2 linked regions of the Drosophila melanogaster genome follow. The protein of the gene in region 1 interacts with the protein of each later gene in a pairwise test. Each region holds a gene or a part of one and is shown on either strand. Other genes may lie near its edges.

Region 1 (5,058 bases):
AACGATTTCAATCGAAATCAGTCAAATTTACACATTTTGTGGTTACGCCCCGCTCTCTTTTGGCCCGTAGTAAATAAACGAGTGACCGAAAACCTGGCTGATGTCATCGCCACTCTTCTTCGCTGGCATTTTTTTTTATTTTTTTTATAAACATTTTCGCATTTGTATGTTTGGGACGCTTAGTAATACGAATACTTTCGGCCAAGTTCCAAGTTCGGGCGATAAGCCGGCACGTAATGACCTGCGATCCGCAATCGCGGCAATGCCCAGATAAAATGAAAGCCAAAGTCACAGTGCCAGAAACACGTGAGTTATGAATATGAAGCATGTGGAAAGAAAAAAAAAAAACAAAACTAAGACGGCAGTGCATTCAAGTTATTGTGGCCAAAGAAACTGCGAAATCAGGGACAACTTTATTGTTGTTGTGATCATCTGAGATACAAAGAATACACAAACTGCAGCAGCAAAGATACAAGTTTTGCCATCTATTTATTAAGGCTTTGATTTCTATAGTTTTTTTTATTTTTTATTATTTCAAGCTTAGAAACAGTTTACGACTATGCTGGGCTATCTCGGGGAATCGCTCGATAAGCGTATTGAAATTTTTTCAGAGTGAGGAAGTTGCGATGGACAGCGTCATCAGAACCAACCTTGATTTTAACTTGCGTTCGCTTTTTAGTGTTTTCATCATTTTTTTTTTTTTTTTAACTTTTTACTTGTTGCGTTGCGATGGTTGGGATTTTGTTTTTATTGTCTTTCGTTTGCGCTGAAACAATGCGACAACAATGCAAAACGAAACGAAATGAAACGAGTTTTGTGAACGAGGTAAAAAAAAAAACTCAGGCAATAAAACAAGGAATAATCACGGGAATAAGCCCACAAATCACCCAACAAAATCAAATTTAATCACCGGATTCATCACCTGTGTGTGTCATTTCAAATTGACTTGGGCCTAAACTTCTAATTTGCGCTTCTAAATTGCCTTTAAAGATTTCGAGCTATGCAATCAATAGTTTGACTACCGAAGTTTGATCAGATAACAAGTAAACCTGGTTTGAAATATTGAACACATTAAATATTTGTATCTCACTATTCGATTTTATATGAAATCTGGATTTATCGTAATTTTAGTTCAATTTTAGTGAGCGGTTGAGCGAGTTCATATTAAAATAACATAACACCCAGCCAAAATCACAACTAGAACCGGCCAAACGAGTTCCTAAAACGCACTCAGCGAATCAAAAACCCAGTTAAGACATTTTCTGCCACTAAATGTGGAAAATAGTTGGCTTGTAATTTTCGAAAAAAAAAGAATCAATAAAAACAGAAAAAAACATTTCAAAATAATTAGCAAATTGTCTGTGTTGCTGGCCAATCTATGAAATCTGCATTGTAATTAGTTAAAATATGAATATTTTTGACAACCCTGCGCCATCCATTAGGAGTCCTCAGAATTTTCCCAACGAATTTCCCCCAAATCATAGAGGTAACTAACTTTGCGGGTTTACCTGTCGCTTTATCTTTATCACTATGTTTTGTTGTTGTTTCTTTTCCTTCATTTTTTTTTCTCACTCACCTGAGCCAAAAAAATTGTCAAAATGCCAACAACAAGCCACACGAAATGTTTTTGTTGTTGTTGTGAATTTTGGTAGTAGTGGTGGTGGTTGTGGCGTTGTTTTTGTAATTGCTGCCGCTTTCGTCCATGTGTTTGTATTTGTATTTGTTGCTGCTGATGATGTGCCCGTAATTGTTGTTGTTTTCGCGTGGCACAGTCCATTTTCAAGTACAGTAAAACCCAATGATGGTCGAAGGTTTCGCAGATTGCTGGTTTTACTTTTCAAGCGGGGATGGGCGGTGTTTTGCGCTTATTGTTTTACACATGTATGTACGTTTGTATTGCATATACATTTCTGTTGGCCGTTACATGGTCATTTGTTTGTATTGCACACGCATATTACGTTTCCTCTATTACTTAATTAATATTGCACTTGTATTGCACTCTCTGTAACGGGAAACGGGAGAGCAATGATGAGCGCGATCGAGAGCGAGAGCGGCAGATGTGGGCCCATTGTAATTGTTGTTTTCTAATACGATTTCCATTAACAATCGCCGGCTAATGCACGAAAAATGATTTATGTCCAAGCGAATTTGTAACGGCACATGCGTGCGGGAGAAGAAGAAGCAGAAGCGAAAGCTGCAGGTGAAGAGCAACACTGATCGTGGAGGGGGAAGCGGCTGGCTATGGAAATGTGAGCCACGCACAAGTACAAGTGCGTGTGCATGAGCGCTGCAAGTGTGTGATTTGATGCAGACACACATGCATACATAATCACACTCACACGCATTTGTGGCTGTAACGGCGCTTCACTACAAGTACAGTGGGCCCTCCCTGCTATTGAACACGCGAGCATGTAAATCTAACGAGATTTAGAAGTTAATATATGAAATGTAAATTCAATGCAAACATATAACGAATTTGGTTAATATGCCCGACAAAGTTTCGATTAGCGAGTCTTCACTGTGGCATTACAGTTTGCTACCGTTGTTATTGTTGCTGCATTACGAAATATCCAGCAATTAACAGACAATTGTTGTTGCCGCCGCTTTTTGCACTTCATATTTGCACTACCACTAGCTGAGCAGGTGTGTGTGTAGGTGTATGTGTAAATTACAGGTACTAGGGTAATATAAATTACAATAGTAGGCGGTTAATGGTGATTGCATTAAATGCTAATTGCACGCATTTACTTTTACTCCACCCTTGCTCTCCCACTCGCTCTCTCTGCCACACACACACTCGGACACACTGATGCAATGACTAAATGCGGCGGCGCAACGGCGTCGACGTTGGCAGCGACGGCATGGACGAAAAAAAAACTAATTCACTTGACTGTTGCTCTTTTTCTTCTGCTTCCTCTCCTCTCCACCCTCTTCATCCGCTTCTTCTTGTTTTCGTTGCACACCAATTTAAAACAAACTAGTCACGTTTCGTTTTAAGCGGAAAACATAAAAACAGAATATAAACTTCTGGCGCGTCGGCGCATTTGTTTAAAAAAAAAGAAGTCACAAACAAAAAATTTAGGCTTTAGTAACCGTTATTATGCAGAAAATAAACTGACACTTTTATTGACCGACAACTTGTTACTGACAAGAAAAAAAATAAGAAAAATTGGTTGCGAAAAGGAATCGGCCACGACAAATTGAAGCGAATGACTGCACGCACTTTTCACCACTGTTCATCAATGAATTTCCACATTTTCTGCCTTTTTGGACGACCGTCGCTTAACGAATGAATATAAATACAATACAAAGGCGTGACCGCCGCGCAGTGCTGCCGAAAAACAGAAAAAAAAACCCAAAAATACTGAATAAATACCACATATTTTACACAACACAGGGTCACTCATAATTTATTTAAAATTGTTAAATTTCTTAAAGAATATATTGTTAATATTATATGACATGTTTTGCTCATGTTTGACCAAATTTGATGTTTCGTTGATTCGGAAAGCGAAATTTAATTCATGCAGTTGATATTCAACAAGTATTCGTGCAGTCACACTTTGCAATTTCAAAAATTGCAATTTGGTAATTATTTCCAATGGTATTATTATAACTTTGTCATTTTTATTACTAGTCTTCTAATAGAAAATACAATTTATTTTATATATTGATATATTTAGTAAATAAAATAATATTTTGAGCACTTGTTAAAAATGTATCCATGTTTTCATAATAAACAGAACACACCAACTCAAACAAATTTGAAAATATCTAAAATTCGTTTATATTTGCAGAGAAGGAAATACCAGGTAATAAGTGAATTAAACTGTTTTTACTGAACTTTTTACAAAAATTTTATAATTATTTTTTTATTTTTTTTTAGATATGCAATATGAAAATTATATCAAGCAAGCTTAAGAAAGTTATATGAGCACCGGCACTCAAGGCTCACAGCTCGTAGAGTAAGTAGCTATCTTATGGTATTATTATATACAGGTTCATTTTTATTTGGTTTTAAAATACATATATCTCTGTATATATAACAAGTTTTTTTTCGTAGAACCTCAGAATAATCTCGAAGTGGTTTTGTGTGGGGTTAGCTAAGACGTTTTGAGACCAAAAAATTTATTAAATTATATATCAACAAAATTTAAATTAAACGTATTCGTAAATTAAATAAAATGTAAAACAGGAGTATGACCAGCTAGCTGTATTCAGTATTTTTGTTAAATTTAATATATTTCTTTAATTCTGTTAGGTAGCTGTAGCGTTAACAGCACTAATCGATAAATTGCCGAAGCTGTTAGGAGCTAACATACAGTCACTAGCAGAACGTCAAGTTGATGTCAGTAGCAATCAAAAGTGAAAAGGAAGCGAAAAAGTGCATTTTAAACTGAAAATAAAGTGTGATAAATAACAGTTGTAAAATCGAGCGGCTCAACCAAGGTAAAGATTGCAAGTACTATTTGATTGTCACAACATATCATATATGTTAAATATGTAACATATTTAAGGAGCAACACAAGCAACATACAACTGTGGTGAATGTATCTGTGTAAATATTGCCTTGGTGTGCGTGCAGTCGGCTTCATTTTGTTTTGCTGTTGACCTTCGCAGATCGAAAATGAGTTTAAATCGAATTCGTAAAAAAAAAGCCGCTTGAACTCTTCCAATGTCAAAAGCAGCGTTCAGAAACTGCGGCAATTGTGCGAAAAACACCAGAAAATAACGCCATCAATAAGTAGCACACAATACATGCAAATGTGTTTTTTTTTCTTGTGTCTTTTGCGCGCGCTTTCTCTGCAAATGTATTACTTAACAGTCGCTCTCTACGTCCCCATATCTCTCTCTCTCTCTTTCTCGCTCTAGAAATATAAACTAAACATTTTCTGCCTTTTTACTTTCTTTTTCCGGCTTTTTCTTGTTTTTGCCTGGCTATTACGGCTCATCTGTGTGTGTGTGTGTGTATGTGTATGCAGATACCGTTATGAGAGCGAAACCTGTTTCACATTCTTATGAGAATTCCAATCAAAGTCTTTCACTTTCCGTAGCTTG
Region 2 (6,077 bases), 6.8 Mb from region 1:
GCACCACAGCCAGCCAGCAAAGCGACTGCAGCACCAGCCAATGGAAATGGTAACGGGAACGGCGTCCTGGGCGACGAGGATGAGGATGAGGCGGAGGACGAGGAGGAAGATGAGCTGGACGAGGAGGAGGATAATGAGGCGGAGCTAGAGGCTGACGAGAGCAATAGCAGCAACGGCATTGTGAGGGACAGTAAACTGCAGCAGCTGGCGGCGAACAAGGCGGTGGATGCGGTTTCACCGGTAGCAGCGGGTGCAGACTCGGCACCAGCCATTGGACAGAAGCGTACTGCCCTGCACTGCGATATGGAGCTGAAGAACGCCGGCGGAGTGGGTGTGGGCGTGGGGGAGAAGTCACCGGATCTAAAGAAACTGCGCAGCGAATGAGGCGGAGGTGAGGAAACGAAATACGGATACGGATGCGGATGCGGGTCAGAAACGGGGATCGGTTCGGCTCGGCACGTTTCGGTTCGCCGCGTATCCGGTGGAAAGACATATGTATGTAGTGCAGTTGAGTCGACATAGAGACATAGAGCAACATTACCTACACTTTACCACAACAACATTCAAGAAATTCTACTATTAAGCAACTAACTATACATACATATAATATATTATATATATATATATATACACATATATATATATATATATACAACATATAACGAGATGCGAACACCCAACACACTCCACTCTCATACACACAACACAGACACACACAACCCGACATAACATGAACATAACCGATCAGATCAGAGCGGAATATAGGATCCCGATCCAGAAGGCAGTAAGCAGCACCACAAACAACATTTCAATAGCATAGAAAGCGCGCCAAGATGAAGAATCAGAAGAATCCGATCAAGAATCCGAAGAACAAGCAGCAGAATCAGCAGCAACAGAGAGTTCAGAATGCAGCGTTAACGTAATTTAACTAAAACGAAAAGCAAATGCATACATGAATAGTAACTACAAAACAAGATCAGATGGAAATCGATATTTTTACACAGTCAAAAGGAACATTTAAATATAAAGAAATTTACAAATGCCGCAGTTGCCCACTACATACAAAAAACAAAAAAAAAATATGAAAAATAAAAAGCGAAAGAAAACAAAATGATTAAGATGGAAACAACAATAATTATAATAAACAGAAACGTAATTTATATACATAGGTATTTAAATTTAATAATAAATCAAAACTTGTCGTATAAACCAAGCCCCCCACCACCAACTCCACCACCACCCCCTTCGACCGTCGACCCGCAGCAACTCGCGCTCTCTCTCTATCTCTCTCACTCAAAACACGCCGCACACAGAATACACCCCCTCCCCACACACATAAACACACAAACACTCGGAAGAAACAAAACAAAACAAAACTCATTTCAACACTAAGAAATTTTTGTGGTCGTAATTATAATAATATAATTTATATTATGTGTAAAACTTTTTTTTAACTTTACATATACTGAATTTTTTATAATTTATACGATAATCACGTTTCATTTGATTTCCAAAAGAGAAAAAAGAAGATACGGAAGCATACGGCCCGCATCTTAATTGCACCCGACGCAGGTCGTCCGATCTCCGCGTGGTTTGGGTTGCCGGTACCGGGTGGTTTCCCCGATATCCACGACCCATACCACTCGCAGATCGGTCGGAACTTTGAAAGTAACAACACATCTGAAAATTATAATCATTTTTATTATTAGTAGCATAAGTGCGAATAAAATGTGAAATATTAAGAAAACACGGCATAAAACTGAAAACATCCCACAATCATCTTCAATTGTTTTATCACTTCAATGGGGTTTTTGCATTTGGTGTTTGAATAGGCGTTACATCGAGAGCCGTTGGAACTAGTCATCGACTTATCGAAAATAATGTAATGGCTCGTCCGAATATGGCAACGCTCTTCAAGTGGGCAGATGTATCGATGTCTATGCATCGATAGCATGGTGTGCTAACAACACAGCTCTAGTGCTAATCAAAAGAAAACACAGAACAGGACGGAAATATATAGAATACTTTTGCACTTAATTTGACTTGCCACGACTACCTGGCCAACTCGATCGGCGATATAGACCACCGGCCCATCAGTCAATTTCATTCTGGCATTGATCGAGCTCCGTGAAACTTGCATTCCAGCTGGCCACCATCCCATACGTCCATATATCCTTTATAAAATATCTATAAATCGAAGAGGAATCCTAGCCCCGCCGACCATGTCATTGGATCGCCTTGGTTGCTGGCCGGATCGGAGTTAATTGAGACTATGCACCGGAATCGAAACAGCTCCGCATTGAAGTACACGTAGAGAGCATTTCCGAGTCCGCCCCCGTTCGGAGCCCCGTTCCTTGATCCCCTGGAAGATCGATTGTGGTCCCGGCGAGCGGAGGGCAGAATCCAGAGGAGGAGGAGGAGCAGGAGCAGCAGTGGAAACGCCGGCATGCTGCTGGTGCGTCAGCTATTCGGGGCTTCGGCCAACTCCTGGGCACGCGCCCTCATCATATTCGTACTGGCCTGGATCGGGTTGGTCTACGTGTTCGTGGTCAAGCTGACCAATACTCAGGGCCAGCAGGCGGCCGGGGAGAGTGAGCTGAACGCCCGTCGCATATCACAGGCGCTCCAGATGCTGGAGCACACGAGACAGCGCAATGAGGAGCTTAAACAGCTCATCGACGAGTTGATGAGGTAGGTGGCTGGAGCTGTGGGGATACAGCCGGGGGCAGCACAATAGCACAAAATATATCATTGTTAGCACTCGCCTGGAACCCCTTTTGGTCTTGCTATAAAGTAAACAAATGATTATACACGTTAATTGCGATTTTAAATACCGCCATAGCTGTGATATCAAAGAGATTAGCATCAATCAATAACCAGTTCTCGGTTTATGTAGAAATAAAGAAGCTTCAATAGTATTTGTATTAAATATAGCTTCCTGAAACATTGTACCATAGCAGTTACACTTTTGCGATCACCATAATGATGTTTTGTCAGCAGCCAGGCTAATTATTCATGGCACGTAGGCGGAATTACATGCGATAAGCTGCTTTGCTAACCTGAACCCCCATCTCCCTCTTTTTTTTTTTTATTTTCCAGTGACCAACTGGACAAGCAGAGCGCAATGAAACTGGTGCAAAGGCTGGAGAACGATGCGCTAAATCCAAAGCTGGCGCCCGAGGTCGCCGGCCCGGAACCAGAATCCATGTTCGAGTCCGCCCCCGCTGATCTGCGCGGTTGGAATAATGTGGCCGAGGGAGCGCCCAATGATCTGGAGGCCGGTGTTCCGGATCATGGCGAATTCGAGCCCAGCCTAGAGTACGAGTTCACGCGCAGACGCATCCAGACGAACATCGGTGAGATCTGGAATTTCTTCAGCAGTGAACTGGGCAAAGTGCGTAAGGCAGTGGCCGCCGGCCATGCGAGTGCCGATTTGGAGGAGTCCATTAACCAGGTGCTGCTCCAAGGCGCCGAGCACAAGCGCTCCCTGCTGAGCGATATGGAGCGGATGCGTCAGTCCGATGGCTACGAGGCCTGGCGACACAAGGAGGCACGGGATTTGAGCGATTTGGTACAGCGGCGCCTGCACCATCTACAGAATCCCAGTGATTGCCAGAATGCTCGCAAGCTGGTCTGTAAGCTCAACAAGGTGCGTTATATATTCTTATTATTCCTATTTCTTGAGCTAATCTTTCGGTTACTATAATGCCACCTTACTTGTCAGCCATTAATCTAATTCGTTATTCCTAAATCCCCAGGGCTGTGGCTACGGCTGCCAACTGCACCATGTGGTGTATTGCTTTATAGTGGCCTACGCCACCGAGCGGACGCTCATCTTAAAATCCCGCGGATGGCGGTATCACAAGGGCGGCTGGGAGGAGGTGTTCCAACCGGTGTCCAACAGCTGCCATGATGCGGGCACCGCCAACACATACAATTGGCCGGGCAAGCCGAACACCCAGGTGCTGGTGTTGCCCATCATTGACTCGCTGATGCCGAGACCGCCGTACCTGCCGCTCGCCGTTCCCGAGGATCTGGCGCCGAGACTTAAGCGTCTGCATGGAGACCCCATCGTTTGGTGGGTGGGTCAGTTCCTTAAGTATTTGCTCCGACCGCAACCAACGACGCGGGATTTTCTTACCTCTGGCATGCGCAATTTGGGTTGGGAGCGTCCCATTGTTGGGTAAGTGAACCAAGAGTCGATTTGTTCTTTTGAAAAAAATTAAATATTCGGGTTTTTTCTTACAGCGTTCATGTCCGTCGCACGGACAAAGTGGGCACAGAAGCGGCCTGCCACAGTGTGGAGGAGTATATGACCTATGTCGAGGACTACTACCGCACGCTGGAGGTAAACGGCAGCACTGTGGCTCGCCGGATTTTCCTCGCATCGGATGATGCCCAGGTTATTGAGGAGGCGCGCCGAAAGTACCCGCAGTACCAGATCATTGGTGATCCGGAGGTGGCGCGCATGGCGTCCGTATCCACACGATACACGGACACCGCCCTGAACGGGATCATTCTGGATATCCACCTGCTTTCCATGTCCGATCATCTGGTGTGCACCTTCTCGTCGCAGGTGTGTCGCGTGGCCTACGAGATAATGCAGACGATGTATCCGGATGCAGCGCATCGGTTCAAGTCGCTGGACGACATATACTACTACGGTGGCCAGAATGCGCACAATCGCCGCGTCGTTATCGCCCACAAGCCGCGCACGCACGAGGATCTACAGCTGCGTGTTGGTGACCTCGTCTCGGTGGCTGGTAACCATTGGGATGGCAATTCCAAGGGCAAGAATACCCGCACCAACCAGGGCGGCCTATTCCCCTCGTTCAAGGTGGAGGAGAAGGTGGACACCGCCAAGCTGCCTCTCTATGCGGGCATTTAGTTAGTTGCTCACATCACTACATTCTCGGCCATGTTGTTGATCGATCTGTAAATCCTATCTGCCGCATTCCACCTGGAATTTCCATGGTGCATATCGATTCGGCTCGGATCAGCATCACCAGAATCTATCGAATGTCCAGAATCTCAAATGAAATCTCGCTCTTTCTGTACTTGTCCATCAATATGTGACTATTTCTTCATGTTCTCGTCTGCGCACTTTTACGCTCTGATTTCGATTCCGAATCTTATTCTTATTCTTATTCTGCATTTGTACAAGTCTTTTAATAAGATGTAAGTCGAAAGCCGAAGAAATTATGTTGACAAGAATATACATAAAGATATTTATATATATAAATAAATTATATATAGAAGTGCATGTAGTTTCACTAAGCGCAATATAGTCTATCACCTGTAAAATAGTTGAAAGAAAACAAAAACAAAGATAAAAAACGAACGCAAAACAAAACTAAAACTGATAAATTCAAGCGTCATAGTAAAAGAAATAAATAGTAATGTTTTAAAAAGCAAATATTGAAAGCGATTTACCTTTTCTGCAACTCTGGGCTGTGGGCTTCGCTACCAGGCGAACAGAAATTTCAGAATGAGACCAACGATCTTTTGGAATTTCGTTTTCAGTATACACCTGCTATTTATTGTAATCGCCTGATGCAAAAAATCAATATATTTACCATAAAAATGTGCATTTTGTACAGACTGGCAGTTTGTTTTCTGCTACTGGTTATGATCGCCTGGTACGAAAAATCTAAAAATTTTCCTCAAAAATGTGTAATTCCTTATTCAAAATTGGAAATTCTAATTTTTTGTCGTTGAATTTCATCAGGCAGCTGGTTTTGAAAATCAATAATTTATTGATTTATTTATTTATTTTAGCGAAACTTTAAAAATTATGGTCCAAATATGGAATGTCATACATCGTTGAGCTCGTAATTGAATTCCGAAACAAACTGTTTTTAAAAATGTGAATTCTATTTTTTGGCCATTTTTTGCAAAATTATAAAAAAAATATAAAAAATTGCCAAAAGTTAATGGGATCGTTAGGATTGATAATAATCAGCTATTATAAAATTTTAGGATATCTTATGATGAAAAATCCAATTGCAAATATCAAATTTTGAACAAAATGCAAAACCTTGTCGATTTTAGCTTGTTATTCGTATGACTTACATCAA

What was found.
Region 2: the proteins of Ptp4E (region 1) and FucT6 interact in a two-hybrid assay, tested with the Drosophila melanogaster proteins (one large-scale study listed by BioGRID).

The regions. Positions count from the first base shown.
Region 1 is NC_004354.4:4,937,366-4,942,423, reverse strand, and holds the start of Ptp4E (protein tyrosine phosphatase 4E), read right to left. Parts: upstream 3,297-5,058; 5' UTR 3,224-3,296; exon of another isoform or gene 3,120-3,223; intron 2,988-3,119; exon of another isoform or gene 2,892-2,987; intron 2,844-2,891; exon of another isoform or gene 2,749-2,843; intron 2,003-2,748; 5' UTR 1,778-2,002; coding exon 1,577-1,777; intron 1-1,576.
Region 2 is NC_004354.4:11,705,817-11,711,893, reverse strand, and holds FucT6 (alpha1,6-fucosyltransferase), read left to right. Parts: upstream 1-1,942; 5' UTR 1,943-2,446; coding exon 2,447-2,691; intron 2,692-3,099; coding exon 3,100-3,649; intron 3,650-3,758; coding exon 3,759-4,183; intron 4,184-4,248; coding exon 4,249-4,888; 3' UTR 4,889-5,319; downstream 5,320-6,077. Other genes in the region: amun, read left to right, coding at 1-384. UniProt on the Drosophila melanogaster protein: Catalyzes the addition of fucose in alpha 1-6 linkage to the first GlcNAc residue, next to the peptide chains in N-glycans. The addition is prevented if the GlcNAc residue is already fucosylated.